Arabidopsis thaliana: one gene and its partners. The protein of the gene in region 1 interacts with the protein of each later gene in a pairwise test. Each region holds a gene or a part of one and is shown in the gene's direction. Other genes may lie near its edges.

Region 1 (6,936 bases):
TATGTGTCAAATGTGATATTATCAGCTAGTGACAATTATTTTGATAGAGTAGAAGATATGTAGAACATAGTTATGTGTACTGTGAAGGACTCTGGGTTATATGTTATATATAAAGAGTTTTCCATGGATTATTTAGCTCCTCCATGTGATTTGTGTGGTTTCCCTGAACTTTTATCCTCCTTTGTTGAAGGGTACTAGCACTTATCTTGGAGCAGCTCCTATTGTTGAATGCCTGGAGAAGTACCAACCAAACGTGATAATTACTTCAAGAGTGGCTGATGCCGCCTTATTTTTAGCACCAATGGTGAGGCGTTCTTGTCGTTTCCTGTTTCGTGATTAAATCTGATCATTCTTGTTGTGTCATCAGGTCTATGAACTAGGTTGGAATTGGAATGACTTGGAGCTGCTAGCTCAGGGAACTCTCGCTGGCCACCTTCTGGAGTGCGGTTGCCAGCTCACTGGTGGATACTTCATGCATCCAGGTGCGTTTTACGCTTATTGGCTCAGGGAAGATATGATGAACTACTGTTTTCCATTATCAGTATGGTCATTTCGTTCCTCAATGTTCTTTAGGTGATCAGTATAGAGACATGGCTTTCCCTCTTCTCCAGGATTTGTCACTTCCTTATGCAGAGATTGGCTATGATGGTAAAGTATGTGTATCAAAGGTTGAAGGTAGTGGTGGAATTTTAAATACCAGTACTTGCGCCGAGCAACTTCTGTATGAAATTGCTGACCCTAGTGCCTACATTACACCTGATGTGGTAAGTTAGCTGTACAAAATCTAGAAGAAATAACTGTAAAAACGGCGGAAATATTTGATTTGAAAACCTTCTTTGCAGGTAATCGATATTCGAGGTGTTTCTTTCCTTCCCCTGTCAGACTGCAAAGTACAATGCAGTGGAGCAAAACCATCTTCTAACACTTCTGTGCCTGAGAAACTCTTGCGGTTAATTCCAAAGGTTGTTATCCATAGAAAATGCTGGTGGTATTTGATTGATGCTAAAGAGCAACCTATGTTTGGTTCTATAATTCGTATTTTCTTTGCAGGAGTGTGGTTGGAAAGGGTGGGGAGAGATATCTTATGGAGGAAATGGTTCTATACAACGTGCTAAAGCTTCAGAGTTTCTGGTGCGCCTATGATTAATATGTCTATGATGTAGTAGCATTTTTTGGCCCCATCGTCGCTTGAAATGACTCCTTATGGTGCCTTAAATTGGAGTTCATTTCTTATCAAGTGTATGTACGTATTTTACTTGTGTTTTTTCCTTCTTTCTTTCAGGTTCGATCTTGGATGGAAGAAACCATTCCTGGTGTTAACCATTGTATTCTTTCTTATGTGATTGGGGTTGATAGCTTGAAGGCGACAAGCAACGGCACTGAATCTTGGCAGTCATGTGGAGATATTAGATTACGTATGGATGGTCTTTTTAAACTGAAGGAACATGCGGTCCAGTTAACAAAAGAGTTTACTGCTCTATATACAAACGGACCAGCTGGTGGTGGTGGAATTAGGTAATTTCTTCACGTTGATGTTCGCTCCATATATCAATCCAATGCTAATTGTAGCTTTACAGTAGTACCAAATCCTGTTGAGTTGAGACATCTTATGACTAGGGACAATGTATTGAAACTAGTTATTTGTTATGAGATTCGGGGTGGTCTTTTTGGTTTGACAAAACTGCTTGTAAATTATATGCAGTACCGGACACAAGATGGAAATTGTTCTTGAAAAGCGTTTGGTAGGTCGTCTCCATCAAAAAATTTAAACTAATATAGCCTTGCATCAATCAATTTTACGGATTCTGATGTTATATGTTTGGTTATCCAGGTCAGCCGTGAATCTGTAATGTGGAAAACTGGACTTCAGCACACCAACACTTCAGAGCCAGAGACCTCTGAACATCATTCTCCAGAGAAAATGCCAAAGGTTAGCTCGAGAGTTCTTACTAAACTAATTGTGATGACTGATAGATAATGGAAATAAACATGACCTGAATTCAAATTCCTTGGTGAATCAATCCTAGTGTGTTCGAACATCAAACTAACTCTGATGACTGATAGATATGTTTTACTATTTGAAAGCTGAAAATGTGAAAGAACTCTAACATGTGCATTTGTATTAACACCTTGTTATTACTTCCATTTGTAGTTACCTAAGGAAAATCCAAAGAACCTTACAATGAGAGGCTATCAATCTGGATTTCATCACTCTCCTGCTCCATCTGGCCAAAAGATCCCACTCTACTCTGTTGCACATAGCCGGGCTGGCGATAAAGGAAACGACATAAACTTCTCAATAATCCCGCATTATTCCCCAGATGTCGAGCGTCTGAAACTCATAATTACTCCTCAATGGGTAAAGCATGTGATGTCAGTTCTGTTATCAACCTCTTCGTTTCTGGAATTGGATGCAAAACCAATGGATGAAAATGTGTCAGTAGAGATATATGACGTTGAAGGCATTCATGCTATGAATGTTGTCGTACGGAACATATTAGATGGTGGAGTCAACTGTTCCAGGAGGATCGACCGACACGGAAAGACAATCTCAGATCTCATCTTGTGTCAACAAGTTGTGTTGTAAGACTACTTTAACTTTGCATATCAGATTTTTCTATTCAAATTCTGTGGTAATATGTTAATAAAAAGGGAGACTTGAACTACACTATAGTTCTAAAAGATAATAGAAAAAGAAGGAATCGACTTAGTGGTGCTTCACTTTCTTTTACTTCTATACATTAAAATTACTTTAATTTACAACTGGATATCTTGATAGATACGCATACAGATAAGTATTAAAAGCATTGTTTTGATTGAGAGAGAATGATATTATATATTTGTGTAATGTTAGGTTGTTGTTATATTCTTTTGCAGGATCTGACTGACATGGGTTGCACCACCTCAGAGACAGTTGGCTTAAAGTAACAATCCCTTATTGGATTGAAATTGTCAGAAACCACAACCCTTCTTTTGCTCAACTCCAATCACTTTGCCACCCAATTTTATCTCATTCATTTTGCAAAAAAGATCAAAGAGAGAGAGAGAGAGAGAGAGAAAGAAAAAAAGGAAAAAACCTTCCTCCGTTACAACCTCACAATTGCAACAAAGTTTCATATAAAAGAGGACAGAAATTTCGCAGGTTCCTCCGTTGTCTGAGGTAAAGGTTTCCTTCTTTAACTAATTCCTCAGATGACCTCTTGATTTGTTGGAAAAAAAATTAAAAAATCTGTTTCATACAGGATCTTGGAGAAGGAAGGAAACAACAACAACCAAAAAAAAACCAAAAAAAAAAAAGATAAAACAAAAAAAATGTCTTTCACAGGAACTCTCGACAAATGCAATGTTTGTGATAAGACAGTCTATGTGGTGGACATGTTGTCCATTGAAGGAATGCCTTACCACAAGTCTTGCTTCAGGTGTACCCATTGCAAAGGAACCCTTCAGGTGCACTCATTACTCATTTTCTTGTTAGATCTTCTATGATCATATTATATCAACAATTTATCTATGTGTTGATGGCAGATGAGCAACTATTCCTCCATGGACGGAGTTTTGTACTGCAAGACTCATTTTGAGCAACTCTTCAAGGAATCTGGCAATTTCAGCAAAAACTTTCAACCAGGTTCGTATTATAAAATCTCTGACATCGAATCTCTCTATCTTTCAAATCATCATGATCATAACAAGTCTCTTTCTTTTCTCAGGAAAAACTGAGAAGCCAGAGCTGGTAGGTTCATCATTACATGTCCTTGTATATGATTAGCGTGTCAATATTTCATTTTCTTTCTTTTATGATCGACTAATAGGATCTGTGTACTGATTTAAACATTACAGACTAGGACTCCCAGCAAGATATCTTCCATCTTCTGTGGAACACAAGACAAGTGTGCCGCTTGCGAAAAAACTGTTTACCCTCTTGAAAAGGTTAGTGGTATACGCATCTGCAAATGTTCTCATGGCCTAAAATACCAACGAACTAGTCTCGTAGAGAAATTTATTTGCTCTAGAATTTGTTTTTTGTTTTTTCATTTCCGTAGAATTTTTCTGTTCGGATAAAATCATTACTAGATCAAATGGAAATAAAATTTTGATTTTGGTTTGGTTTAGTATACTTTTGGTTCGATTTGAGAACGTGATGTTGGTTGGTCCAAGCAAATGTGGAATCAATTTTGGCTTGGTTCTAATCGGGTTATTTGGTAACAGATACAAATGGAAGGAGAATGCTTCCACAAGACATGTTTCCGGTGCGCTCACGGTGGGTGTACGCTGACTCACTCCTCCTACGCCTCCTTAGATAGCGTTCTCTATTGCCGACATCACTTTAACCAACTCTTCATGGAGAAAGGAAACTACGCTCACGTCCTCCAAGCCGCCAATCACCGTCGCACAGCCTCAGGCAACACTCTTCCACCGGAACCTACCGAAGACGTCGCCGTGGAGGCCAAGGAAGAGAATGGCGTTTCAGAGTCTTGAATATCTCTTACATGAGTGTTTTTGAGTGAATGATTGAATGAATGTTGTTGCGGGGGAAAGATTTGATTTCATTTGTAATGAGTTGTTTCCATATGAAGACATGATTTTTTTTGTTATTTTTTTAATTCATTCGTTATACATTTATTATTACACACGAAAAAAAGGCAAGAATTGATGTTTTTTCACTCTATGTGTGCTGCTTATGATATGCTTTCCGATGGTGATGATGATATTCGATGTAATATCTGTTCGGTTCAAAGATACCAAACTACTTATATACCGGATCAAACCAAGTGGTTATCGGGTGATGTGAATCATTCATTATTTCGTTAGGTGAGAGAGGGTGTTTTCGTAAAAGTATCTAAAAACGGCCTTAGCAATGATGTCTGGTTGGCGAGAAACTCAAAAAGGAGGAGACAGAGAAAGTTGTTTGACTGGGAAAATTTGAAGAGACGAGCCAAAATTATCTGTTTGAAACGAACGGAATTGAAGACGAGAGCCACTCCTTTCCGTTTCCACCTTTCTTCCATTCTTACTCAACTTTCCATGATTGGTTAGCCTCTCTATCTGTCCGTGGCTTGTCGTTGATTTTTTTTATCTTGGTCGTCTGAATGTGTGGAATTTCGTTTTGCTTCACAGGAGTTGTATATAAGGTTCGAGGAATAAAGTAAGGCTACTTTTTTTATTTGATTTCCGATATGGAGTATGCGTCTACTTTTCAAAGGCCGATTCTATTCCATGGTGGAGATGGTGCGAGTTACTGCTTTCCAAATCGATTGATAAGTCCTAAAGGAATCAGCATTACATCTGGGGATTCTAAAGTGCATTCGTGTTTTCGATTGAGGAGAAATGTAGCACAAAGTGGTACATTGAATTTGATGAATGCGTGTTTCTCTGGAAGGTTTTATAGTGGTCATTTGCATTCTACAAAATCAATACTTGGCAATGGCCACCAAGCCAAAAGAATCCCTTTTGGATTTAGGTTACGTTGTCAGGGTCATGAATCTCTGGGTAATGCCGATAGTAATGATCATCGGATCGGGGAATCTTCCGAAAGTAGTGATGAAACTGAAGCTACAGATTTGAAAGATGCGAGAGTGGAAAACGACACTGATAGTTTGGAGGAACTCAAGGAGTTACTACACAAGGCAATTAAAGAATTGGAAGTTGCTAGGCTCAATAGTACCATGTTTGAGGAAAAGGCTCAGAGAATCTCAGAAAGAGCCATAGCACTCAAGGATGAAGCTGCTACTGCTTGGCTTGACGTAAACAAAACCCTTGATGTCATTCGAGATACTGTTTATGAGGAGGCTCTTGCTAAAGAAGCTGTTCAAACGGCTACTATGGCCCTGTCTCTGGCTGAAGCTAGGCTTCAGGTTATAGTGGAATCACTTGAAGCTGGTGCAGGGAATGATATTCCACATGTGTCTGAAGAGACTGAGGAAACAATAGATGTTAATGATAAAGAAGAAGCTCTTTTAGCTGCCAAGGATGATATTAAAGAATGCCAAGTTAATTTAGATAATTGTGAGTCCCAACTGAGTGCTTTGCTGAGCAAAAAAGACGAGCTGCAAAAGGAAGTGGACAAGTTGAATGAGTTCGCTGAGACAATACAGATCAGTTCGTTGAAAGCCGAGGAGGATGTTACCAATATTATGAAATTGGCTGAACAAGCTGTAGCATTTGAGCTTGAGGCTACTCAACGCGTTAATGATGCAGAGATTGCTTTACAGAGAGCAGAGAAGTCTCTCTCCATTTCTCAGACCCCAGAGGAAACTCAGGGCCAACTCTCGGATGAAGAAACTTCTCAGGAGGATGCGATGGTACTTTCAGGTAACGTTGAAGATGTTACCCATCAGGTTGAAAAAGAATCACCTAAAGATGGAGATCTACCAGTGGTACAGATCACAGCTGAACTTGTGCCTGATATAGTTGGTCAGAGGAATAAAAAACTAACTCAGCCTTATGAGTCAAGCGATCATGAGAATGGAAAGCCAAGTGTAGAGTCTTCTAAAGTGGTTGAAGCAGATTCTGAAAAGCCAAAGATTAATGTTCAGACAAAAAAACAGGAAACTCAAAAAGATCTGCCAAAGGAGGGTTCCTCTCTTAATTCTCCCAAGGCATCGTTTAATAAATCCTCCCGTTTCTTTTCTGCATCTTTCTTCTCTTCTAATCCAGATGGGACCGCGACAGTGTTTGGTAGTCTGGTTGGTTCTGTCAAACAGCAATGGCCCAAACTAGTTCTTGGGCTTGCTCTTCTTGGAGCAGGGTCAGTTTGAAAATTTACTCTTCTTTGCTTCGAGTTTTGAAGAATCATTTTTGTACAGAAAGTTCTCTTTTTGTTGATACGAGCTTCTTATTCGTTCCAGACTGACATTATACTCCAATGGAGTAGGGGGGAACAACCAGTTGCTTCAACAGCCAGATGTTACCAGCACTAGTACAGAAGATGTCTCTTCA
Region 2 (7,757 bases), on another chromosome or scaffold:
AAACCAACAAAAGCTCACATGAACTAATTCTTTGAATGTTCTTCATATTGTCCACATTTTTAACCTAATCTACACATCATTAGGTTATCCGTGAATAAACAATAGGAATTTTGAAAAATATGATACTGCTTTTCAAAACTACTATTAAGAGAAAAGCTTTTCAAAAAAATCACTTTATAGTCTGTATATAAGACTTTACAAACCTTGTAAAACCATATAAAAACTTATAATAATCTAATTACATTTTGACGTAATATCTTTGAGTTCCTTTAAATATAATAAGGAACACTGAAATTGATATAACATAGGATTAAGATAAAACGTTTCATGTTGAATTTGGTATTAGTGTAGAAGAAAGCGATGTCACATATTGGAACATAGCTAGTGCCAGTTTGCACAGGTACTATTAAATCTTCGGAGATTTTGCATAGATTCGTAAATTGAATAGATAAAAAACAAAAGGAGAGTCGTACCATCACAAAACTCATCAATTTTTAATTAGAATTTTTTTCTCTTTGTTACTATTTTATTGCATTGTAGGCGATGATATGTGAGTAAAAGGTTATCTCTCGTATCATGCGGATAGAGACTTCTATGAATATCTATTTCGTAGACGTAACCGTACGTTAATTAGTCTATTGCCAGGTTGATTTATTTGTATTCTTCTTAGTAGAGAAAATCAATACTTCACTAAACAAAATGGAAATAATATGGTAGAAGGACATAAAACTGTTTTGATAATAGAGAAGAAAACATATAGAGATGCAACATATTTGAATAACAAATATAATGAGATTAAGCTAAATAAACGAAGTGATTAATAGAGATCTATAACAGTTATGAGATCAACCTAACTTACTTCATATATCTTACAATCGTCACATAATTCACTAGACTTATCGGCCAGAAAACGCCGTAAAATGGAAGTTGTTTCTTTGCATTTGTAAGTAATGTTTTGGGATATAGGATGGTAGAAGAAAACTTTGAGTCAATTTCTTAGAGTGAAGTAATGTACCTAATCTATCTCGTAATTCAAGATTCATTTTCATATCATCCTTTCGTAATTAGTCTCGTGCACTTATTCTTTTCTTTAAATGTGATCTTGAATATTCAAAACACAGTACAAATAATAGATCAGCCGCTAATTAAATGCGTTAGATAAAGAATAAAGGTTTTGTGCAAGTACCCTGATTTGAAAAGAAGCAAAAGAGAGATATTGGTGAAGAAAATATGATGCCAATAAATGTTTATTCCTCATCCGGATGAAACGTGCATAATCTCTATCATCTTCGGGTTATGATAATTAATTACAAGCTCATGCGGACCTTTGACATGTAAATTATGTCCAAAAGAACAATCATAATGTTTTCTTGGTTCCTAATTAGCATGTTTTCTTTCTGCTCTAAACTTGATCTCAAAAAGAAAATCATAATAGAAAGTCCATAGATCGTATTCGTACGTATACAATTGATAATTAATTAATCGTAGATTCGCTTAATGTTTTTGTTAAGTACGTGTCATAATAATAATTTATAAATAGAAGAAAGGAATTATAATAGTCTAAATAATTAAGGACATGGATTGTGATAAATTTTGATGGTCAAGTACTCGTTTTTTCGATTATTACTATAAGAGTACCCGATTATATCAAAACAAAATGGAGATTTATGATTTTTTGTCTTCTATGCATACCCAACGGTATCATGGGATTGGACTTCACACCTTATTCACAATTTTTTTTCTTTTGTCCTTTTCTGAAAAGGAAATTTCCTATGTCGATCCAAAGTGGGAAATGGACAAAAGTTTTTATTTTCTCTAACAAAAATGGACAAAAGTTTGTAGTATTATGGTATCCACATAGAGATTATTATTGAGAAGATCACGCGGCATTACATATTTAGTTCTAAATGTACAGTATTTTGGATAGGGTAATATATCTCTCTACTATCTAGTCTTTAATTATATCTGACTCGTTAAACTGTGCCTATATATTGATCTATATATTAGCTGTGGCAAAGGTTCTGCAATCTGATAAAGTAAAATTGATTGATAAATGATAAATATTGCTCTTTTGGTGTACATTAACTTTTTTGATATGTGTATTATAGGTCCGACCCTCTTATAAAGTAAAACAAGCCATAGCTTTAGGGCATTTCTAAATATAGTTCGTTGTTAGGGCGACAATATTGAATGCTTACGTGAGTGTAGTTGATGGTCAATACAAATACATCAATTGGTTTTAGAGAACATTTTCCTCGAGTTCGACTGCCCACGTTGGTCGTTCTTTCGTTCATTTAATGGGTTTAGTTGATTACTTCTTTTTATAGTACATTTATTGTTTTCACGTTATGCGCTATTATATTCTTATAAAAAAAGTCTTAATTAAATGATATATTGATCAGTATTTGTCTTGTTTAGTTTTACAACATGGTTGTATTACAAATTATGTAGTATTTATAATCTTATATTTCAAAACATAATTTATTCTCTAAATAACATAAAACTATGGAGAATACAAATTACAACAAAATTTAAAATTATAAGTTCTTACATAAAGTAATTTGAAACAAATTTTCTAAAATATCATGATACCCATAGAGTAATAAAACTAAACAAAATAAATAGACAAATATTCCATGAGTTTGCATTTGAAAAAAAAAAAAAAAGAGAACATACGTATCTAAGAATGATGAAAGATCATTAGTCACCTAATTTTTGAAATTCAACATTATTTACTTAAATTTTCATTTTTACTCTTCCATGGTTACTCAATGCAATTACTTAAATATACAATCTCGATATTATATATAAACATATCATCTAACATAAATTACCCGCCGAAATATGGTAGTAATTTCTTCTCAAATAAAAAGGTATCTTCAATATACAAGTGGTCCCTAAAATACTCTTTCTTCTGTTTCTCCTTGTTTCTTTGAATAGTGAATACAAAAGCAATTCCTTATATAAACCACTTCAAGTCCTTAATCTTCTCTCACAAAGAAAAAACACTATCTCTATCGACAAAGATAAGAGAACTCAGAAGCTTCTACTCTTAAAATGGCAACTTTCTCTTATTTCCAAAACTACCCTCATTCCCTTCTTGATCCTCTTCTCTTCCCTACACCTCACTCCTCCATTAATCTCACTAGTTTCATCGATCAAAACCATCTCTATCCACTACCAAACATTTCCACAGTTGAAGACATTTCCTTTCTTGAATATAATGTTGACAAAACTGAAAACTCTGGTTCAGAGAAACTGGCCAACACAACCAAAACAGCAACCACCGGTTCTTCTTCCTGCGACCAGCTCAGCCACGGACCATCAGCCATCACCAACACCGGAAAAACCCGTGGGAGGAAGGCCAGAAACAGTAATAACTCCAAGGTATGTTAAACCAACTTGTAATGTATCATCTATCATTTATGTGATGGGGTTGGGATAGTCAAAAACATAAATGTTGGTGTGGTTTGGTGAATTAGGAAGGAGTAGAGGGAAGAAAAAGCAAAAAACAGAAGAGAGGAAGCAAAGAAGAGCCTCCAACAGATTACATTCACGTTCGAGCTAGAAGAGGCCAAGCTACTGATAGCCACAGCCTTGCTGAGAGGGTATTTTAGTCATTTCTCTTAACATTTTAATTTTTCTTCATTAATCATGTTTTCATAAAATACATTTTGATTAATATTTGATTAAACTTATATATATATATATGTAAAGGTGAGAAGGGAAAAGATAAGTGAGCGGATGAGGACTCTGCAAAACCTTGTTCCGGGCTGTGATAAGGTCAGCTAGAGTAGAGACAATTTTATTTAGGAGAATTGATAATGGTTTAATTTTATAATGTTTCTAGAAAATGTTATTAATTGATTAAATGTGACTTGAAAACGAATAGGTAACAGGGAAGGCCCTCATGTTGGATGAGATTATAAATTATGTCCAGACCTTGCAGACTCAAGTTGAGGTGCATTTTCTTAATTATTTTGTTTTTTCTTGTAACATTTTATGTTAAAACTAATGTTTCTAATTCATAACTTTTTTTTCTGTTTCATTAGTTTCTCTCAATGAAGCTAACTTCTATAAGTCCGGTGGTCTATGACTTTGGCTCCGACCTTGATGGCCTCATACTTCAATCTGAGGTATTTCATTTACACAATGTCTCTTAATCCGGTTACCGATAAAACCAAGTCATGTATCCCGAAAAGCCGGTTATGGATCTTAAGTAGATATTTTCTTGATGGACAGATGGGTTCTCCAGAAGTAGGAACGTCTTTTACCAATGCAATGCCAACAACTACTCCTATCTTTCCTTCACTATTGGATAATTCTGTAGTTCCCACACATGCACAAGTTCAGGTTTTTCATTTTTTTCTATAAGTGATTATTTCAGATAATAATTATAATAAGGAGAATGAAGATAGATAAGAATCAATTATTGGAAGATTAATAGATAGTGATGTGTTGCTTAATTTAGGAAGAGGGAGAAGAAAGAGAGAACTTTGTAGACAGAAGTGGGTTCAACAACAACAACTTCTGTTCTTTCCCTTGATAAAATTACATGTCGACACAAACACAAAAGCCTGCTTTCGTGAGTTTCTTCTGGTCTTGTCTCTTCAACTACCTAATTATTATCATTACAATTATTTTTAACATTTCTCATATAGAAATTGTTAAAAATCTTGATGTGGGTTCGTAATTATTGCTATCGTTTATTGGATGTAGGTTGATTTAATCTCCTCCCATTTGCACGGAGGGAATAAAATCTACGTAAACCAGGTTTTGTAAAAGTGGATGTACTTATTTGTTCCGTTTATATAGTTTGAAGAAATAAAGTATTTTAGAGACTTAAAAAGCTCATTTTCTCTATTTGTCCCGAGAGTTTCAACATAATCATTACATAAAATCAATGGATAAATTCATACTAAAAGAGAATGGTATATGAGGCAGAGGCAAATTCGATGGAGGAAAGAAAGACATATAAACTAAGAAGACCTATCAGCTTAATCATTGTTTTTTTTAATATAATTGAATTTTGATGTATCCACTCATTAATTTTATAAGTTCTTGTATTTTCACCACTTCTGTCTTTCTGATTTCTTGCACCAAAGTTTCCTTTTTCCTCCAATCTTTTTAAATGTAAACTGTTATCCACACACTCATGTTATATTTCCTATATATATAAAAATGTTCGAGGGATAACTACTTATGCATGTATATAAATCTAAATGATTCGTTTCCTGTCAATTTAGTTGGCTACAAAATTATGTCAGAAGAAAAGATTAGATTTCCCTTCCTGAGAACACTTTAATGTACCTGTTGAATAGTTTGGTCATGCTTTTCTGCTCTCACTTGTCACACATTGATAACTCCCATTCCTCTGTATCTGTCCTTTCACAATACATATGTTATAAGTTTTATTTTAGTTTAGAGTATGTCTAATATATATATACCAAAATTCTTGAAAGAGATATTTGATACTGTTGTATTTGTAAATATGATTTGTTGGTTGTCTAACATTTTCATGAGGTGGTAATTAACGATTCCTTGAGTTATTCAATCCTAAATTGCAGGATTTATTTGAATACACCTAAATAAATTATATGCAAGAGCCTTATGTATATTATCGTTATTCAGTTACATACATATTAATAACCTCTTTTATTAACGAACCTAGAATAGAGATTTTTTTGTATGATTTTCATTTCTTGATGTATATGTCAGGATGTATATGATTTGTGAGATTACTCTTCACAATTCAACAATTTGAGATTTTAGTTAAATAAGTAAAATTTAATTGATATCATCTCTTCTAAGATTTGTTATTGGACTATGGTTCAAAATTTTCACTTTTTCCCTTTTTTATTATTATAAATATGATATGTTGCTAGATGAATTGGGTCATCATTTTCTTGCAATTGTTTCGTCATGAATACGATTTTTTTTTTTTTTTTTAATCGAAAATGCATATGAATTTGGTCCCAAGTTATTATACGGCAAATTGATCAATCATAAAATACAATAACAAAGGAAATGCTAAGTTTCTCGTGGCACATAATTGTATCTGCTAACGGTTTCATCCTGAATCAATGGACAACACATTTCGTAAATCTTATGCACATCATTTCACCTCATATGTTTATTTCAAAGTATACCTCTTATAACTTTAACTGTGCGTTTCGATTCTTCGCATCATCAAACCTATCAAAATCAAACCCTAAATATCTGATGACACGTTTTATGCGAGAACGATTGGTAAGTTAACCGAAGGGTCCACGATTCAATTTGATAACACGCCTAGGTGAGAAAAAATGTTGTACATTATTACACAACTAATACAGCCAAAAAAAAAAAAAAAGCAACAATTCGAAGGCATGATTAAATGAGCAGTCCGGCCGTTAGTCGTCCAGAGATTTTCATGTCTATGTCTAGTCCCATCTCTTCTATTACACTCTTTTTCTTTGTTTGTTTTCATGTACCTAACTTCATTTCCACGTGTACATGAATCATTCTTCCATTACAAAAACTATAAAGATAGTAGCTAGCCAAGATGGCTGTTGAAATTGCCATTCTTCTATCCCTCTCAAAGTAGTGAATGGTAAGTGAACAAGTAAACTCTATAGGACGATGAAAATGTAAATACGTATAGATATATAATGACGTAGTAGTTCTAGAAAATACAACCTTATTAACCAAAATAACATCATCAAAAGTTTTGAAGTTGAAGAAACACTGATACTAGGTCATATTTAAGCTTAAAATTATTATTTTCTATCAGTATACTAGTCGACCAACTATTGTTACTGGTTTAGAAGCAGGTTCAGTCTTTATCAGTTGGGTTATCAAGAAAGTAGACCAAGCACACACTTTAGAAAGCCCATTAACAACAATGAGCAACAAAGACTAATATTTCAGTTTACTTATAGGCCCATAAGAATTGAGTACCAAACAAACCTTAACTAGCTAGTAGCTACTCTTATATATTTTACCGATAGTCTTTGACTCTTTGTTATAACAACGGATCGATTTTAACAAATATTCTATGGAAATGGTAAACGATTCATTAAAAACTTGATTTCGTAAACCTAATTTTAACACCAAAATTTCACTGGTTTTATATGGAGAACATTCGCTGCGTTTGCAGTAGGCTAGTTGCCGTACACACACTGAATCGATAACAAGATGAATGTTGTATGATTGTATCAAGCATCGTCGGTGTAATCATCTTCTTCTTTTTCGTTTTTTTTTTTCATTTTAGATCAATCCATTTTCGATGATGGGCACATTTGTTTTTTATTCCAAGTTATTTCGATTCTTAATTATGCATTAGCCTTCTTCGTTTTAGATTGGCAAGTCATTTCGTCAATATTGATCTTGTAATTTACTAAAAACTCCGTCACACCCAAAATAAACCAAAATGTAATTTACTAAAGAAGTTATGAAGAAATGTTATAGTTCGAAACTATAATGAATGAAAATACTAGTAGTCACACCCGTGCTGCTATAAACTATATATATTCATATTTGTTTTCATACGGAGTGTATTAAATTGATATCATAGTGGGGAACAATTAGATATCAAATTAGAGATTTAGAGTTATTATATTATTTAGTACATCAGCAGCATTGGTTATGAACCCTAATTGTTCAAGCAGAATTTGTAGTTTTAGTAAAAACTTTTTATCATTTTTTCTATTTTAGCAATGTATTGATACCCATGTATAATTTGAATGTTAGGATCGACTTCAGATTATAAAATATAC
Region 3 (9,392 bases), about 24 Mb from region 1:
CTTGTGGCGCGTGGCACACGGCAATTGTGACTAGTTCTGGTCAGCTTTTCACTTATGGTAGTGGAACTTTTGGAGTTCTTGGACATGGGAGTCTTGAGAGTGTTACAAAGCCGAAAGAAGTTGAGTCTTTGAGACGCATGAAGGTCATATCTGTCTCTTGTGGACCGTGGCACACGGCTGCTATAGTGGAAACCGCGAACGACCGGAAATTCTACAACGCCAAGAGTTGTGGAAAGCTGTTTACTTGGGGAGATGGCGATAAAGGACGGTTAGGACATGCTGATAGCAAGAGAAAGCTTGTGCCAACTTGTGTTACTGAACTCATTGATCATGATTTCATAAAAGTCTCTTGTGGATGGACTTTAACTGTTGCTTTAAGCATTTCAGGAACGGTTTATACAATGGGAAGCTCGATCCACGGACAGTTAGGATGTCCGCGGGCAAAGGATAAGTCGGTAAATGTTGTTTTAGGCAATCTAACACGACAATTTGTCAAGGATATTGCTTCAGGTTCACATCATGTAGCTGTTCTAACTTCATTTGGAAATGTTTATACTTGGGGAAAAGGCATGAATGGACAACTTGGTTTAGGTGACGTTAGAGATAGAAACTCTCCTGTTCTTGTTGAGCCTTTAGGTGATAGGTTGGTAGAAAGTATAGCTTGCGGGTTGAATTTGACGGCTGCGATCTGTTTACACAAAGAGATCTCTTTGAATGATCAAACCGCTTGTAGTTCTTGCAAATCAGCTTTTGGATTCACAAGGAGAAAGCATAACTGTTACAACTGTGGTCTATTGTTTTGCAATGCATGTAGTAGCAAGAAAGCGGTAAATGCTTCGTTAGCACCGAATAAAAGCAAGCTTTCTCGGGTTTGCGATTCTTGCTTTGATCATCTATGGAGTATAACAGAGTTTTCAAGAAATGTTAAGATGGATAATCACACTCCGAGGATGCAGATGGTTACACGAAGAGTATCTGAGGATTTGACAGAAAAACAATCAGAGAATGAGATGCAGAATCTTCCACAAGCTAATCGATCTTCGGATGGACAGCCTCGATGGGGACAAGTCTCTGGTCCTTCTCTGTTTCGTTTCGATAAGATTTCGACAAGTTCTTCTTTGAATCTTTCAGTCTCAGCAAGGCGAACATCTTCAACGAAGATTTCAACCTCGTCTGAGTCGAATAAGATCTTAACCGAAGAAATCGAAAGGCTAAAAGCCGTGGTAATTAAACTACTTCTTTTTGTTTTCTTACCTGTAACAATAGTAACACATTAGACACTAAAGATACATTTTTATGAACATGTAGATAAAAAATCTCCAGAGGCAGTGTGAACTTGGCAATGAGAAGATGGAAGAATGTCAACAAGAGCTCGACAAGACATGGGAAGTTGCTAAAGAAGAAGCAGAGAAATCGAAAGCTGCTAAAGAGATAATAAAAGCCTTGGCATCGAAGGTAAAAGATACATAGTTTTTTTTAATCTTTCTGTTTTTGGTTTGTTATGTGACCGACATTTTCACGGTATCTTTGCTTGCAGCTCCAAGCGAATAAAGAGAAACCGAGTAATCCTCTGAAGACCGGCATTGCATGCAATCCTTCTCAAGTCTCACCAATCTTTGATGACTCAATGTCCATTCCATACCTCACACCAATCACCACAGCTCGTTCACAACACGAAACCAAACAACATGTAGAGAAATGTGTCACGAAATCCTCGAACCGTGACAGCAACATTAAGCTATTAGTAGATGCATCGCCAGCCATCACAAGAACAGGGTATCTCCAAAACGAAACACAAGACTCGTCAGCAGAACAAGTTGAGCAATACGAGCCCGGTGTATATATAACTTTCACGGCCTTGCCTTGCGGTCAGAAGACGCTTAAACGCGTACGGTTTAGGTAAAAAAATGTTAATGTGCTTTTAAGTGTTTATATAGTTTGAAGTACGCTTAAGTATTTATATGATTGGTTTCTAACTTTGGTTGCAGTCGGAAGAGGTTTTCAGAGAAGGAAGCACAAAGATGGTGGGAAGAGAAGCAGGTTTTGGTCTATAACAAGTATGATGCTGAAATATGAAACTAACTTTTGAGTTTACTTCTTCGAATGTATTTTAATTCATTTTGATGTTTGTTAGTGAATATATGTAATGCAGAAAAATTTCTTTATTTAAGAAAAAATGAAAAAAAAATACTGGGAAAAAAATTCCAATATATGATTAATAAAAATATTTTAATGATCATCTAGGAAATATATATGCGAGTTAAGAAAAATGTTTGTGATTTTGAGCAATGAAGAAGACTTGCATAGTATGTAAATGTAAGTAGAAATATATCTAACATGCTATCTTCAAAATGCGATTGGTTCAATATTACCATTGAGGCATTGACCACGAGATAGAAAATAAAATGATGTATATCAAATATAAAACTTTCATTCTATATTATAGAAAACGTAATAATTGACTATGAAATGTGGCTTAAAATGTGTGAAAACAGTGAGAAAGCATCTCAAAAATTAACAACGTAAAAAATAGTTTACTTATTATGTTTTCTTAAAACCTTACATTAAGTTCTAGTTGTTGAAAATTCCTTATAAATATGTCAAATATGTCACGTCCTTACGTTGGTCGATGCCAAAAAATATGACGAGCAAAAGTTATTAACTAGTATAGGTTTATACATATATATCCGTTTTTACAAGCAAAAATAGTTATCAAATTGTCTTTAATTGGTTACTTTTAATATTTTCACTAGGAGCAAAACTGATAAATGAAATTGACAAATATCTAGTCTATATGCATAAACACGTTACGCATGGATGAACAAAAATAAACATGTTTAGATGAATTATAATGAACGTGAGTTTTCCAACATTGAACATGATACCGAAAAAGCTTATTAAGAACGTTACTGAGAATCAAATTTACACGGAAATATATAAACACATTAAAGTAAAAAGAAAAGTTAAAGTGGAAAATATGTTGTGGGGTTTGCAATTGGCAACCGACCCTAAATGCTTTTTCCAGCTTCTTTTACATAATTTTAATCTCTTTTTGTCTTTCTTACAATTTCATCACTGATCGATCGAATTCAAACCCTTATGTTACGCTTCTTTCTTATATAACTGTCTCTTCATATTCTCACTCCTTCTCCTCCCTCTTCTCCTTTTTCTCTCTTAAGTTCTATAAATGTTCATATTTGTTTCTAGCTAAGAAGTTTGTATAAGGCAGTGGACATGGCTCCTGTTTCAATGCCTCCAGGTTTCCGGTTTCATCCAACAGACGAAGAGCTTGTCATATACTACCTCAAGCGAAAGATTAATGGTCGGACTATTGAGTTAGAGATAATACCCGAGATTGATCTTTACAAATGCGAACCTTGGGATTTACCTGGTATATTTCTCTCTTTGCTTCTTTTTTTTCTTTTTCATAAGATGCAAATCTATCATTTTTTTTGGTCATCCGCAAGTATTTACCATGGACGAAGGTATAAATTTATGATTCTGCATCGTTAGTACATCAACATGTTGTGTCTCATGTTAAAGAAATTTTAAATGAGACCATACCATAGCAACCGAAGGAGAAGACTCTATCTGGTTCTTTTCTAATATGTCATAATCATTTGATTGATATGCTTAGTGTAAGATCATTTTTTTTTGGAATTTAGTAAGAATAACGAAAAATAGATTCATTTTTCTGAAAACTACATAATGTGAAACTAATGTTTGAAAGGGTAACCCTTGAGAGAAGAGACACTTGACGTCCTTTCTTTTTCGAAGATAGATGTTCTTTCCCTCTTTTTCCTTAACATAATATAATTCCCATTTTATTTTCACATTTTTACGTACCAAGTTATGTATCTCTAGTCACGCATCGAACTTGGAATCGAACGTGAATGCTTTATCAACTAAATAATCTTTAATAATTATGATCCCAACTTTATGTTAGAATAAAATTTAAATGGACCCACCCTTATCTTTAGTCTTTAAAAGGATTGTAATAAAACCGAGAGATGCGGTGGTGACTAGTGTGAGACAAATTCGGAAGACCGAGTCAAAAAAGGTAAGAAGATTGAAAAAAAAAGATAATAAGTAACTCACAATAATTTCACATGTGCTTTAGGGTTTTGGAAGCTTCTCATTCACCTTCAACTTTTTGTTTTAAATATAAAACAATCTAATGTTCTCTTTATTTGTCTTTTCTTTTTTAATCTTTTGGATTCTCATGACATGTTATGGAATCTTTAAGTAGTGTGTACAAATTAAGATTGGATATAATTTATCTTAATTGTATGATCCTTGCAGGGAAGTCCTTGCTGCCAAGTAAAGACCTAGAATGGTTCTTTTTCAGTCCTCGAGACCGGAAATATCCAAACGGATCAAGAACAAACCGGGCGACCAAAGCAGGTTACTGGAAAGCCACCGGGAAAGATCGTAAAGTGACTTCACATTCACGGATGGTTGGAACAAAGAAAACATTAGTTTATTACCGAGGAAGAGCGCCTCATGGCTCTCGTACCGATTGGGTCATGCACGAGTACCGTCTTGAAGAACAAGAATGTGACTCTAAATCCGGTATACAGGTAAGCTAACTTTTAAAAAGGTTATCAAAAGATTAAGATTCTTAACTTGAATATAAACCAATGTATAAACATTTCAGGATGCCTATGCACTTTGTCGAGTATTTAAGAAGAGTGCTTTAGCCAACAAAATTGAAGAACAACACCATGGTACGAAGAAGAACAAAGGAACGACTAATAGTGAACAATCTACTTCTAGTACTTGTTTGTATTCTGATGGAATGTATGAAAACCTCGAAAACTCGGGGTATCCAGTCTCACCTGAGACAGGAGGCTTAACTCAACTCGGTAATAATTCGTCGTCGGATATGGAAACGATAGAGAATAAATGGAGTCAGTTTATGTCGCATGACACGTCCTTCAACTTCCCACCTCAGTCTCAATATGGAACAATCTCATATCCTCCCTCGAAGGTAAAATTTAAACTATATATCTCAAAGAAATACAAAATTAAAATTGGTGAATATGTAACCTTTTGTTTTCAAACTAATCTCTTATCCATTGAATTCTCCTCATATAATAGGTTGATATAGCGTTAGAGTGTGCAAGACTACAAAATCGTATGTTGCCACCAGTACCACCACTTTACGTAGAAGGTCTCACACACAATGAATATTTTGGAAACAATGTAGCTAACGATACAGATGAAATGTTGAGCAAGATTATAGCATTGGCTCAAGCCTCACATGAGCCACGAAACAGTCTAGACTCATGGGACGGTGGTTCTGCTTCCGGGAACTTCCATGGAGACTTTAACTATTCCGGAGAAAAAGTCTCATGCCTAGAGGCGAACGTGGAGGCTGTAGATATGCAAGAACACCATGTGAATTTTAAGGAAGAAAGACTTGTTGAAAACTTGAGATGGGTAGGAGTATCAAGCAAGGAACTTGAAAAGGTAGTGATATTTTACAATGTTAAGTGCAAAATATTTTATGTGTTAATATATATGTTATCAAATATAAGTATATGTTTGATTTATTCTACAAATTTCAGAGCTTCGTTGAAGAACACTCAACGGTAATTCCTATAGAAGATATTTGGAGATATCATAATGATAATCAAGAACAAGAACATCATGATCAAGGTAGCTTTCACTTCGCGATTTCTACATTTGGTTGTCTTTCTTGACATCTCTGGATTTGATTTTTTTGTTTTGTTGTTGTTGAAGATGGTATGGACGTTAACAACAACAATGGAGATGTGGATGATGCTTTCACACTCGAGTTTTCGGAAAACGAACATAACGAGAATCTTTTGGACAAGAACGATCATGAGACAACGAGTTCCTCATGTTTTGAGGTGGTAAAAAAAGTTGAGGTTAGCCATGGATTGTTTGTCACAACTCGTCAGGTAACCAACACATTCTTCCAACAGATAGTACCATCGCAAACCGTTATAGTTTATATAAATCCGACGGATGGCAATGAGTGTTGTCATAGTATGACATCAAAAGAGGAGGTTCATGTCCGTAAAAAGATAAATCCGCGAATCAACGGAGTAAGCTCAACAGTTCTTGGACAATGGAGAAAATTCGCGCATGTTATTGGCTTCATTCCTATGCTTCTATTGATGCGTTGTGTTCATCGAGGTAACTCTAACAAAAACAGAGGCAGTGAAGGTTACTCGAGGCAGCCTACGAGAGGAGATTGTAACAATCGGGGAACAATACTCATGATGGAAAATGCTGTCGTGAGAAGAAAAATTTGGAAGAAGAAGAAAGAGAAAAATATGGTTGACGAACAAGGTTTTCGGTTTCAAGATAGTTTCGTATTGAAGAAGTTGGGGCTTTCTCTTGCTATCATCTTAGCTGTTTCTACCATAAGTCTTATTTGAATACTGAGGTTCAATATATCATATATGGCTTTTCACTTTTCTATTGTACTCCCATTTGCCTAGGTCGTATTTACTCTCATTTGCTTTTTCCATTTCTCTAAAGTCGTCTAAACAAAACTAGATTTGGTTATTTTCTGTTTATGTATTAAGTGATATGATCTCTCCGCGGGTTGAACGATCAGTCTTCTGTCTGGTTTTTATTATTATTATTATGTTTGCATGCACGTAAGACGGTAAGAGCAGATTATACGAACATTAACAATTTAGCCATCTTGTATTTCAGTATTTTAGTCACTATAGATATGTGAGTAAGTTTATAGTCATTTTCATAATAACTTGTTTATTATAACGATTGCTGTTCCATGTTTTGCAATGTATAGATCATCAAAAATTACTATCGAGCTATTTTGTTCTTGAATCTTGACAGATAATATTTAAGAATAACCTATACGGTTCAAACTGTCGGTTTCAATATTAAAACAAATGTGAATGGAAGATAGAGAGAGGAAAAAAACCTCTCTTACAAAAGAATCTAGGTGCGTCAGAGAAGCTCGCCAATCTCATGGAGCCAAGATTTGCTTTCCTGGCTCTTAATAGTTTGTATGGATCGGCGATTGAAACTTCATTATTCTCTCCCAAACAAAACATAGAATAAACGAATGTGTCTAACGCTGAGTGAAGAGGACTAGACGGACTTGCCCCGTCATAATATGCATATTACGATACGTTGCAACATTAACAATGTCGTGAGTATGCATATCTCATAACATACCAAATATCGATACGTTTCAACATTGAATTTTTAATATCTTAGTCATTAGCAATTAATAATTAAATCTTCTTTTATATGAACAAATTTATGATTTACAAAAAAAATAGATGTTATGTTTCCATGGATCATGTTTTCAAGCTTGACCGAAAACAAGCTGCTAAAAAGTGTCATAAAAGTTTGGTACTAGTACAACTAGGATTTTGTAACTCTAGCACAAGAACCAGTTCAAAAGATGATTATGCATACTGGATTTTTATAGATATTGTTGATTCTTGCATGGCAATCAAAGAGTTTGGCAGCTAGGTATACCTTTAGGGGTGATGTCGACACCTCTCATCTAGCCTTACTTGCTGAAGTATAACTACAATTGAATCTCACTCCCCCTACCAGAAACTGTTTCCTTCCTCATCTTCATTAGGATCAGATCGGATCACAACAACAAACTTCGTCGAACTCAACCACGATGGACAGTGGTGGCTGAGGTTCGTTGCCTGTTTTAGGGTTGAAGATTGAGATGCGTTAAGTGACTTGTGAGACTTTAAGTAACACACAACGACATAATTTAGGGTACTTGGGCCTTAATGGGCTGGATTGGAGTGTTACAATATACAAAGTTCATCGGAAGTTTAGGTTTATTTTAAAAGATGTTCAATGTGGATCCTAATTTCATGCGTTTTAAAATACTTTAAACATAAATCCCAACCAAAAACAAAAAACTCCCAATATCCTTTGAAATTTACAAAGTTCTTTGAAAGTTTAGGTTATTTAAAACATTGTTCCGTTGAAATATGGATCCATTAATTTTCATGCGTCTTGGTAAGATGTATCATATTATGGATATGGCTTTGAGCCTTTGACTTTATTCCTACTTTAAAGTTACAACTTAAATCCCATTTAACCAAAAAAAAAGAAAACAAGAACTCCCATATCCTTTGAAATTCAAGAAAAATTAATGATACAGTTGGTATATATCATTAACAATAATTACAACACCCTAAAATGATTATAATTTGCGTTATCTTTTACGATCTCAAATCTTGGAGTCGAGATTGTGGTAATGGGGATTGGGATGCACGTGGTGATACGTAATGGGTGTAGACAGAAAATCACAAGAAAGCGAAAGTGGTAACTATTGAAACACAAAGTGACAAATCAAATAATAGTCGCGTGCTTTCTTCACGGGTCACCTCCTCTATTGTTCTCACAATCAATCAAAACCTCACTTTCCAAATATTTTTTATATTTTTCTAATTTTTTTTTTGGTTGTGGTAAGAAATTATTTCATTGTGTTATAAACAGCATTGAGATCGATTTTTAAATTTCTTAAACGGAATTAACCAGAAATTTATACATTTATTTGTTTTTCACATGCTTTTGCAACCTTGACACAAGTTTCAATCTGTTTGAACTTCCATCTATAGGAATTGGAGAGACATAGGGATAATGAATCAATTGTCCGTATAAACACTATACTAAAATGAATACAAAAGGGTATTCACATGTATGAAGAATGTGAAATAGTGGTTGCATATACATTTACACTTGAGTGAGGATGTCCAGTGAGGCAAATATTCCATCTGAATTCCACAATTATTCTTAAATCAAACTAAAAACAAAAAGTACATTCCAACAGAATTCTAGCATATAGAAAAAGTTTATTTATTTTTGCCAACAACAATAATAAAATATTTCTCCCTATCACTCTCCACTCTATCTCTCTCCCTCTATGGAAAACCCACAGATATTTGTCTTGTGAATTCAAGAAGAGCCAATCTAAATTCAAAAAGGGTTAATTGTGATTTTGTCTTCTTTCTTCATCACCATTAACAGTGATAATGTCTCCATTGCCTTATAGTTCTTGGCCTCTGATACTATTGTTAGTATTGTGGTGCATGGTAGCTAGATTATCAAACGGAGCTTCCAACAATGTAAAGGTTGGAATCATTTCAAAGGTGGAAGATGCTACGAATTTCCATATCTATTATGGACAGACCTTTAAAGTCATCAAAAACGCCATTGATGGCAAGAGCTATCTCCTTATTCAGGTTCTTGCTCTTTTCTCATTAACTTATCTTTCATCTTTTTGTTTCCAAATGTATGGTATGGTTCGTGTCTGATAATTGAGGATAATATGTAGAACACTTCTAGAATGGCGGTTCGGACAAAGTATTGTACTTCCAGGATAAAGTCTTATGTGATTCCACTTCTAA
Region 4 (7,961 bases), on another chromosome or scaffold:
GTTGCTTCCTATATCATGAATGATAAAAAAAAAATGAATTATGAGGGAAAGGCAACTGTTTAACTTTCTATGGATAGCATGAGCCTGTGTCTGCATACCTTGTGCGGATGCTTTAGATATGAAGAATGTGTTCCAACCAAGTGGTGGCACCTTTGCTTTAAACACGAGCCAATACTTTGGACGCTGCAGGGAAGATATTCCTAAATAAGCTTTTGTGTAGAAACTTCTGAGGTTGCTCGTGACATTATCCATGGGGATGTATTGAGCATCAAGGGTGTTTCCAGATGAATCTTCCACACTTAGACCTGCATCATTGACCTGTTACATACCCTAACTCTTTAGTAATACATTAAAGAATTTGATCTCAAAGGAGCAAGTAAACAGAGGCATGAAATATAACCGGAATCCTGATGATTTCTGTACGGTTCCATCCAAGGGAGTTATACGCCACCAGAATCTGAAGATCAAACACTGAGATAGTTGGAGAATCTGAGCTATATCATAATGATTGATGAGAGATGTGATGGAATTACCAAGCTCTTCTGGCCTGGAAGGGTTTCTTCTGTCGATGGGCAATAGCTGATATTCATCAACGAGCACTGCTGATTTGATTCCAAGAAAGAATATATAAACCAGGTGATTACTATATAGAGACACACAATAATCGTTTACTCTAAATAGAGGAAAGAAATAACTCCCACACTAGTCATCACCATGAAAGGGATTCTTCAATCACATTTCTGTAAAAAAAATGAAATCCAAAATGAGTTTCTTGGAGATTTAACCTGGCTGAATGCTATTGCAGGCTTTGTGCAGCCACCTTTTGGTGCTTTGTTCATTAGGCATGCCAGCGCAGAATTCACCACAGCTTCTGCCTACGGAATAATTAGATGATTACTGATATAAGAAAAAAGACAAAAAAGAAAAGAGTTTTCATATATAGTATCTTACCTCAGAAGCACCAAGAGCAAGGCGTTTCATGTAATCATTTGTTACATGCTGCTTGGCAGTTCCAGTGACAGCATCATGGTGCTGCGCTATCCCTAAAGCATCCCCAAGACTGTAAGTGTTTGGACCTCCAGAGTTCTTGCCCACCAGAAATTCAAGTTGCCTTGCAGCCTGTTTTGGAAAAAAAACAGACAAATGCAAGGCCATGTAAATTCATTTTGAATTTCACTAAGAAAATGGGAAATCGGACTCCGTAAGATGCAGTTTGATACCATGTAGTATCCGCTAAGAGCCCGAACATATCGTTTAAGAGCAGGACGGCTGGTGAAGTAGCCAGTCCAGTAAGCGTATGCCCGATCCGCATATCTGCAGAGAGTAGGGGGAAATTATTGACTATTGAGAAAATCAAGTTGTTGAACAAAAGGAATATGTAAATTTATTTGGTGACAGTACTAAAGGCACTCACGGGAAAAAGTCATGAGTCTTGAGAGGCCAAGTAACATTGGCAACATTCTTGGCATCAACATAGAGAGATGGTGTGGAGTACAAGGCGTTCACACGGCCATCCTGTTGAATGGAATTATTGGTGATGAGAATCTAGTCTCCAAAGACAGCGAGATTGATATTGAGCAATCACAGCAAGCAAGAGATATGAAAACCTTGTTAACATAATGGATAAGTCTGTCCATCTGTCTGAACCAAGACTCGGCGAACTGGTACTGAAAATCATCGCCCATTGTCCACATCACATGGTTCCCTCGACTCACATTAGCCTATGTCCACATTGACTACTTTCAGAATTAATCCAAGATTACACACACACTTGAAAAAAAAAAAAATACTACTCAAGACTTACATAAACAAGAGAAGCATTGACGAAATCATTAACCGCCTCCTTAATGTTATAGCCATCGAAACGAGGGTTGTCCTGCAAAATGACGAGTGAACCGAATTCCCCTAAACCAAAAACCAAACGGGAGAAAGAAGAAGCGAACCTGGAGGGGTACGTAATCGTCGGTGACTTCATAGTGAAAGCCAGTGGGAGGGCCGTAATGAACAAAGAAGATATTGGTGAATATCTGAGAAGAAGAATCCAGTGTTTTTGATCCTCTCCAGATGACTTCAAGTGATTTCTCGGCCTTTCGCTTTTCTCTGTCTTGGTAATCGATTCTCGCGAAATGCACAGAATCCAACCCTAACTGCACCCCCACCAAATTAAAACACACTCATAAGGAAATAAAGAAATAAATAGATTAGAAGGGACCTCTGCTCCAAGGAGGTAAGCTTGAACAGAGGAATGACCAAAGGGATCGATTTGCCAAGCAGCACGTGGAGTTGTGTTGAACTGTTGCTTTATAAACCGATGCCCCTTTGTGGTTTGGTCTATCATATCTATGTAATGGCACGTTGCTTCATCATTCATAGCCCATCCTCCATTTCTGCACATTGATTGTGTGAATTGTATCAACGCTAGGTAGCCAAAATGATAAAATTAAGGTCGTGACCTACTTACACAAACTCTAGTTGCCCGGATTTCACTAGTCTCCTCACTTGCTCTTGTCTCTCGGGGCTTTGTTCTTCCCACCAACGCGTAAAGAAGGCCTTTTTCATGTACATTGATGTTCACATAAGAGAAGAAAACATATATTATGGTTTTATGAACAAAACCATTATTAATGTTTTACCATTTCCGCAAACACAAACTTTCTATTGGGATCACGAAGTAGAGAATCCACCACCGAGTCTAGGACGTTCCTCACGCAAGCGTTCTGAAACTCACAATTCATTTGGGATATATAGTACGTTAGACTCGTCTCTACATACATACATATATATGATTCATCATTCATCTGTAGATAACATACCTGGATTCTGTTGTTAGATCCTACGTAGTACTGATCAACAGTTTTCAACCAGCCGACATCGTCATGCGAATGCGGAACAAGATGAACATTTAGTTTCCCCGGAACCACTTTAGCTTCGGTTCCATACTTCACGTATCCCCCGCCTTTGACGCTCTCAACCAACGACAACAGAAGAAGAAAAACAATAACACAAAGTGATCCTTTCAATAAAGACATACCCGGTTTCTCCATTTTCCGATGGCAGAGTTTTCAGATGTTTTTCTTTCTTACAGGGTGTGGAGGAAACTTATAACAAGAAAATGGAGAGAGAGCAAAACAAGGGTCATAACAAAAGACCAAATCCTTATCGTTTGTTTTTGCTCAGATCCGTCGGTCTTTGTTAGAGTCTCTCTATTGTTTTACTGTGACTAGATTGTCATTTCACCATATGTAATAATTAATTAGGTTCTACAATAATCTTATTTTCCTACAAATTTAATTAAAATCTTGACCCTAAAATAGTACTTTATTAAATCTTTTTTTCTTCTACTTTGATGTCAACATTAAAATTGAAGTTGATCTGTTTTGAGTTTTGACAATAGTCATTTACCTTTTCTTTAATTTTATTTAACAAATAGTTTTGGGAAAAAATCTCCCTTTCTTTGATAATACACAAATCAATCAATATAGAGATAATTAAACCACGTCTTTACAGAGAATAGAAGCAAATCTTTGAGCTAGTAACATTTTAGTATAAAAATCTCAACAACAAGTCATTTACATCATTGCAACTGTTTTGTTCTCTTCATTTGACTTGGGGGTTGTTTGCTTGCAAAGGAGGCTTTGTTTGTACGTCGTCGTTTTTATTCCGTATATAAAATATAAATTAACGAACTAATCTTTAAAGCCTCTGAGACGAGTAGAAGGTTCTCTCTGGTGAAGAAACCAATGCATTTCGGCGACAGCCTGAAACTGAAAAGCCATCGATCGACCGAGAAAGCGAAAAGAGAGAGAGATGAGACTCGTCGTCTCAAGCTGTCTACTAGTTGCAGCTCCTTTTCTCTCCTCTCTGTTACGAGTCTCACTCGCCACTGTTGTCCTCAATTCCATCTCCGCCTCTTTTGCCGATCTCCCAGCCAAATTTGGTCAATTTCTCCCCCTCTTCCTTTTTCCTTATCCGAAACAATTTCTCGAACAATCTGGTTAAAAAGAAGTTGATTTTGATTCTCAGACGGCTCCGTGACCAAAAACGGAATCTGTGGAGCTCTATACGTCGCAGATCCTCTCGACGGTTGCTCACCGCTTCTCCACGCCGCCGCATCCAACTGGACGCAACACAGAACTACTAAGTTCGCTTTGATAATCAGAGGCGAATGTTCTTTTGAGGATAAGCTGCTCAATGCCCAGAACTCAGGTTTTCAAGCTGTGATTGTCTATGACAACATTGACAACGAAGATCTCATCGTCAGTAAGCCTTTTGCCTCCCACCCAAGTTTAAAATTCCATCTTTTCTTCTCCTGATGAGCTAGGGTTGAGCTGAATTTCATTGGAGTTATTTAATTTAGTCAACGCCCCCATAAGTTTGGAGATTGACCAACATCTGTTTTGCACAGTGAAGGTGAACCCTCAGGACATTACAGTTGATGCAGTCTTCGTTTCAAATGTCGCCGGTGAGATTTTGAGAAAGTACGCGAGAGGCCGAGATGGTGAATGCTGCCTTAATCCGCCAGACAGAGGGAGCGCTTGGACTGTGTTGGCCATCTCCTTCTTCTCTCTCCTTCTTATAGTCACTTTCCTGTTGATTGCCTTCTTTGCACCCAGACACTGGACCCAATGGCGAGGGAGGCACACCAGGACCATCAGGTTAGATGCAAAGCTCGTCCACACACTCCCCTGCTTCACCTTCACTGATTCTGCTCACCACAAGGCCGGGGAAACATGTGCTATATGTCTCGAGGATTACAGATTTGGAGAAAGCCTCAGACTTCTCCCCTGCCAACATGGTACTTACTCCTATTCTTCTGTGGAAATAAACTGGCAACTTGCCACCCTTAATGTGTTCATTGAGGTCTTGGAAATGTATATTTATGAGACACAGATCTTCCCTTCACAGGATTGAAACATGTGCTTACTATTCTAGGAAGACTTTGATAGGTTTCTCTTAGATTCTAACTTTATAAAATAGATTTCTTTCTAGCATAAATTCCTCTGTTTTAGGGTTGAAGGTACAATATATTCCGTTTCTGTCAATTCCAGTTTGATAGGTAAGCACCGAATGCGAACTTTTTGGTATTACTCATTGCTTCGAATGATATGATGGGTCGAATATGTACATCAGAAGAATAAATTAAAGATTTGACCTTTTTTAGTTTATGTAAGTGGGGGTAATTCATAGCAGTTGGTTGATTTGAAGCTCTTATGCAGCTTTTCACTTGAATTGCATCGACTCTTGGTTGACAAAATGGGGTACATCTTGCCCTGTGTGCAAGCATGACATAAGAACCGAGACTATGTCTTCTGAGGTGATCCTGTTAGACTGAAATGTATAAATCCTTTCAGTAGTTATTTTGTTGTTTTTGCGTTGGGTTCAATACACTGTTTGTGTTGTTTTGTTGCAGGTACATAAACGAGAGAGTCCGAGAACAGATACAAGTACGAGTAGATTTGCCTTTGCCCAATCCAGTCAAAGCCGTTAGAGTTATTATCGGCTTAGCAGCTGAACACTCATATCAGTGCTCGGTTACCTGGATCAGGTCCAGGTTTGCATCTTATATTGAATGGTTAATCATGGTGGGATAAGTTTAGGTAAAGGGACCGGATCTGCCATACTGGTCGTGCTTTGCTGGATTCCCAGATCAAAAAGATATGAGTTGCTTTGCCTCTTTTTCTTTGCATGTGTACATTTACATACGCTCTGAGTCATGTGTACATTTGATCATTGTGTGTGTGTGTGTGTTATAGATTGAAAAAATGTGTGTGATAGTACAGATATGCAAACAAATTGATAGAAAACAAATGTTGGTCTAATCAGATTTTCTCTCTCCGATCCAGGCAAATCTCTAATGTTATCTTGTTGATAATTTCTTTGCCTAAAGTTTGTATAATATGAATATTGAATCTGATTCCCTTACATGGGGGAATGGAATCCATTGAACGTGGCTTTGATTTTGTCTTGTCTGTAGTAATAATAAGAAAAGAACACGTCATCCTCATCTCTACCTAACGACTCATCCAATACGATGACTCGTTCATGGGTTTGTTAGTTGCGCAATTCCATCACCAAAACTTTCTATTACATACTCAACTTCTTTTGATTACTAAATTCAGCCAACATTTCCTTCTCATCTCTAATCAGTGAACACGTTTTCTATGCAGGCTTTGGGGCCTATCTTACCATAGCTGTCTAAGAAGACTATTATCTTATATTCTTTATTGTAGATTTCATTTACTTGCGTATGGAATTGGAAACAAATTTCTAATTGTTGAATCATATACCATTATTTTTATATTGGCCATGCATGTGTATAAGTGGAAGATAGAACAATATTAAAACAATATTATTGTGTTTGGTCCTATTTATTACTCTCTGCTCTCTTCCTGAAGCTTCTTCATCTTTTTGTTTGACAAGAAGAGGTAGAGAAGAAGATGTCTCAATCAATCTCCTCCAGCACAAAGGCAGAAGAAGTTGTTAGTGTAGATGTGAGCCAAGCCAAGACTCTCCTCCAGTCTGGGCATCAATATCTTGACGTTAGGTGAGCTTCTGATCTATTCTATCATATCACCATGCATGTACCAGCTGCTGCGGTTGTTAATGAAAAATCCTTGCACATGGCAGGACTCAGGACGAGTTTAGGAGAGGCCATTGTGAGGCAGCTAAGATCGTCAACATTCCCTACATGCTCAACACACCTCAAGGTAAATCAAATATCAATCACCTTTAATTAGAGATATCAACCAGTACATGAGTTAAAGCCTTGTGATCTCTACTCTTAGGTAGAGTGAAGAATCAAGAGTTCTTGGAGCAAGTATCTTCTCTTCTAAACCCAGCTGATGATATCCTTGTGGTAACTCTTTTCTTCCTCATCACACCCACAAGAATTAAAATCTGCCGGTGAAAACGATGATAAAATCTGGAAAATGATATTGATACAAACAGGGTTGTCAGAGTGGAGCCAGATCCTTAAAAGCCACAACTGAACTTGTTGCTGCAGTAAGTGTATAATAGTCCCTAGTTTACATACATAATTTACTCCTACTTGTGTGTTTAATCTCAAAGAATCAATTCATATATACATAAAAAAATAGGGTTACAAGAAAGTGAGAAACGTGGGAGGTGGCTACTTGGCTTGGGTGGATCACAGCTTTCCCATCAACACGGAGGAGGAGGAGCCATCTGCTAATTAATAATCTTAAGATTCTCTTCTTTTCTTAATCAAATAATATAACTGCCTGTGTGATGTAGTAATCATTTTCAATTTAAAATTCCAGTTTCTTGTAATCAAAACTTTCGTGTACCAAATTCAATAAAAGCTGTGTTTCTCTATAAGTGAAAACCAAAAAAAAAAAGATGAACAAGTAAAAGTGTAAAAACTAAGTAACAAGCCTTTGTTTGTTTCATCGGTCAAAACGTTTGGGCTTTTTGAGTATACATACAAAAAGGCTTTGGGCTTCAGCCTAAGCCCTTATCTTCTCTGTTCTCGCCCGGCGATTCTCCGACTTAATTAATTTTCCGACCGAACACTTCTCTCTCTCTCTCTCTCGGGTTTCTCATGGAAGAAACGTCCAAGCTACAGTTACCGGAGAGTTTCCTTAGCTTTCTAGAGGCGAATGGCCTTGATCCTTCAATCTATACTCACGGAGATTCAATTCCACGTTATGTAAGGTAACTTGAGACCCCTCCTTTGCTTTTCTCAAAATTTCTGAATTTGGCATTGAAACCGGAGAGGTCCGTTTGAAGGTTGAAACCTGGATTCGAGGATGCTTTCGAAGAGATTGAATCCGAAATTAACTGTAAACTGGAGAAGGTGAATTGGTTACCAGGATTTTACTCCATCCCTCCAGATGTTCATATAGCCAGAACCAAGGCCTATCAGCAAGGCATGGTGAGAGAGAGCAATCAAATACCAACTCTCCTCTCGCTCATTCGGTTTTTCTTAACCTCACTTGTTC

The links.
Region 2: the proteins of PLIM2b (region 1) and AT5G50915 interact in a two-hybrid assay, tested with the Arabidopsis thaliana proteins (one large-scale study listed by BioGRID).
Region 3: the proteins of PLIM2b (region 1) and NAC028 interact in a two-hybrid assay, tested with the Arabidopsis thaliana proteins (one large-scale study listed by BioGRID).
Region 4: the proteins of PLIM2b (region 1) and RMR1 interact in a two-hybrid assay, tested with the Arabidopsis thaliana proteins (one large-scale study listed by BioGRID).

Annotation. Positions count from the first base shown.
Region 1 is NC_003070.9:279,607-286,542, forward strand, and holds PLIM2b (GATA type zinc finger transcription factor family protein), read left to right. Parts: upstream 1-3,154; 5' UTR 3,155-3,312; coding exon 3,313-3,447; intron 3,448-3,525; coding exon 3,526-3,625; intron 3,626-3,707; coding exon 3,708-3,730; intron 3,731-3,837; coding exon 3,838-3,927; intron 3,928-4,206; coding exon 4,207-4,476; 3' UTR 4,477-4,639; downstream 4,640-6,936. Other genes in the region: AT1G01770 (propionyl-CoA carboxylase), read left to right, coding at 191-304, 368-482, 574-764, 843-962, 1,051-1,131, 1,283-1,515, 1,703-1,742, 1,832-1,930 and 2 more; KEA1 (K+ efflux antiporter 1), read left to right, coding at 5,175-6,745, 6,846-6,936. UniProt on the Arabidopsis thaliana protein: Binds to actin filaments and promotes cross-linking into thick bundles. Has an actin-stabilizing activity. The actin regulatory activities are inhibited by pH > 6.8 but are [Ca(2+)] independent.
Region 2 is NC_003076.8:20,707,553-20,715,309, reverse strand, and holds AT5G50915 (basic helix-loop-helix (bHLH) DNA-binding superfamily protein), read left to right. Parts: upstream 1-2,845; 5' UTR 2,846-3,057; coding exon 3,058-3,387; intron 3,388-3,482; coding exon 3,483-3,608; intron 3,609-3,717; coding exon 3,718-3,783; intron 3,784-3,892; coding exon 3,893-3,961; intron 3,962-4,052; coding exon 4,053-4,136; intron 4,137-4,242; coding exon 4,243-4,353; coding exon of another isoform or gene 4,354-4,374; exon of another isoform or gene 4,375-4,471; coding exon 4,472-4,546; 3' UTR 4,547-4,585; exon of another isoform or gene 4,586-4,719; 3' UTR 4,720-5,207; downstream 5,208-7,757. Other genes in the region: AT5G50910 (uncharacterized protein), read left to right, coding at 6,028-6,249, 6,773-6,901.
Region 3 is NC_003070.9:24,517,951-24,527,342, reverse strand, and holds NAC028 (NAC domain containing protein 28), read left to right. Parts: upstream 1-3,082; 5' UTR 3,083-3,234; coding exon 3,235-3,391; intron 3,392-4,302; coding exon 4,303-4,580; intron 4,581-4,657; coding exon 4,658-4,990; intron 4,991-5,100; coding exon 5,101-5,472; intron 5,473-5,570; coding exon 5,571-5,661; intron 5,662-5,745; coding exon 5,746-6,410; 3' UTR 6,411-6,675; downstream 6,676-9,392. Other genes in the region: AT1G65920 (Regulator of chromosome condensation (RCC1) family with FYVE zinc finger domain-containing protein), read left to right, coding at 1-1,223, 1,309-1,455, 1,538-1,899, 1,989-2,076; AT1G65900 (plant/protein), read left to right, coding at 9,018-9,227, 9,320-9,392.
Region 4 is NC_003076.8:26,441,391-26,449,351, forward strand, and holds RMR1 (receptor homology region transmembrane domain ring H2 motif protein 1), read left to right. Parts: upstream 1-3,695; 5' UTR 3,696-3,807; coding exon 3,808-3,937; intron 3,938-4,023; coding exon 4,024-4,260; intron 4,261-4,405; coding exon 4,406-4,795; intron 4,796-5,216; coding exon 5,217-5,314; coding exon of another isoform or gene 5,315-5,332; exon of another isoform or gene 5,333-5,410; coding exon 5,411-5,488; 3' UTR 5,489-6,043; downstream 6,044-7,961. Other genes in the region: AT5G66150 (Glycosyl hydrolase family 38 protein), read right to left, coding at 1-8, 99-318, 401-457, 534-602, 786-875, 952-1,119, 1,221-1,314, 1,415-1,515 and 7 more; STR18 (sulfurtransferase 18), read left to right, coding at 6,438-6,544, 6,628-6,707, 6,786-6,856, 6,949-7,008, 7,098-7,196; AT5G66180 (S-adenosyl-L-methionine-dependent methyltransferases superfamily protein), read left to right, coding at 7,562-7,674, 7,750-7,894. UniProt on the Arabidopsis thaliana protein: Involved in the trafficking of vacuolar proteins. Functions probably as a sorting receptor for protein trafficking to the protein storage vacuole (PSV) by binding the C-terminal vacuolar sorting determinant (VSD) of vacuolar-sorted proteins.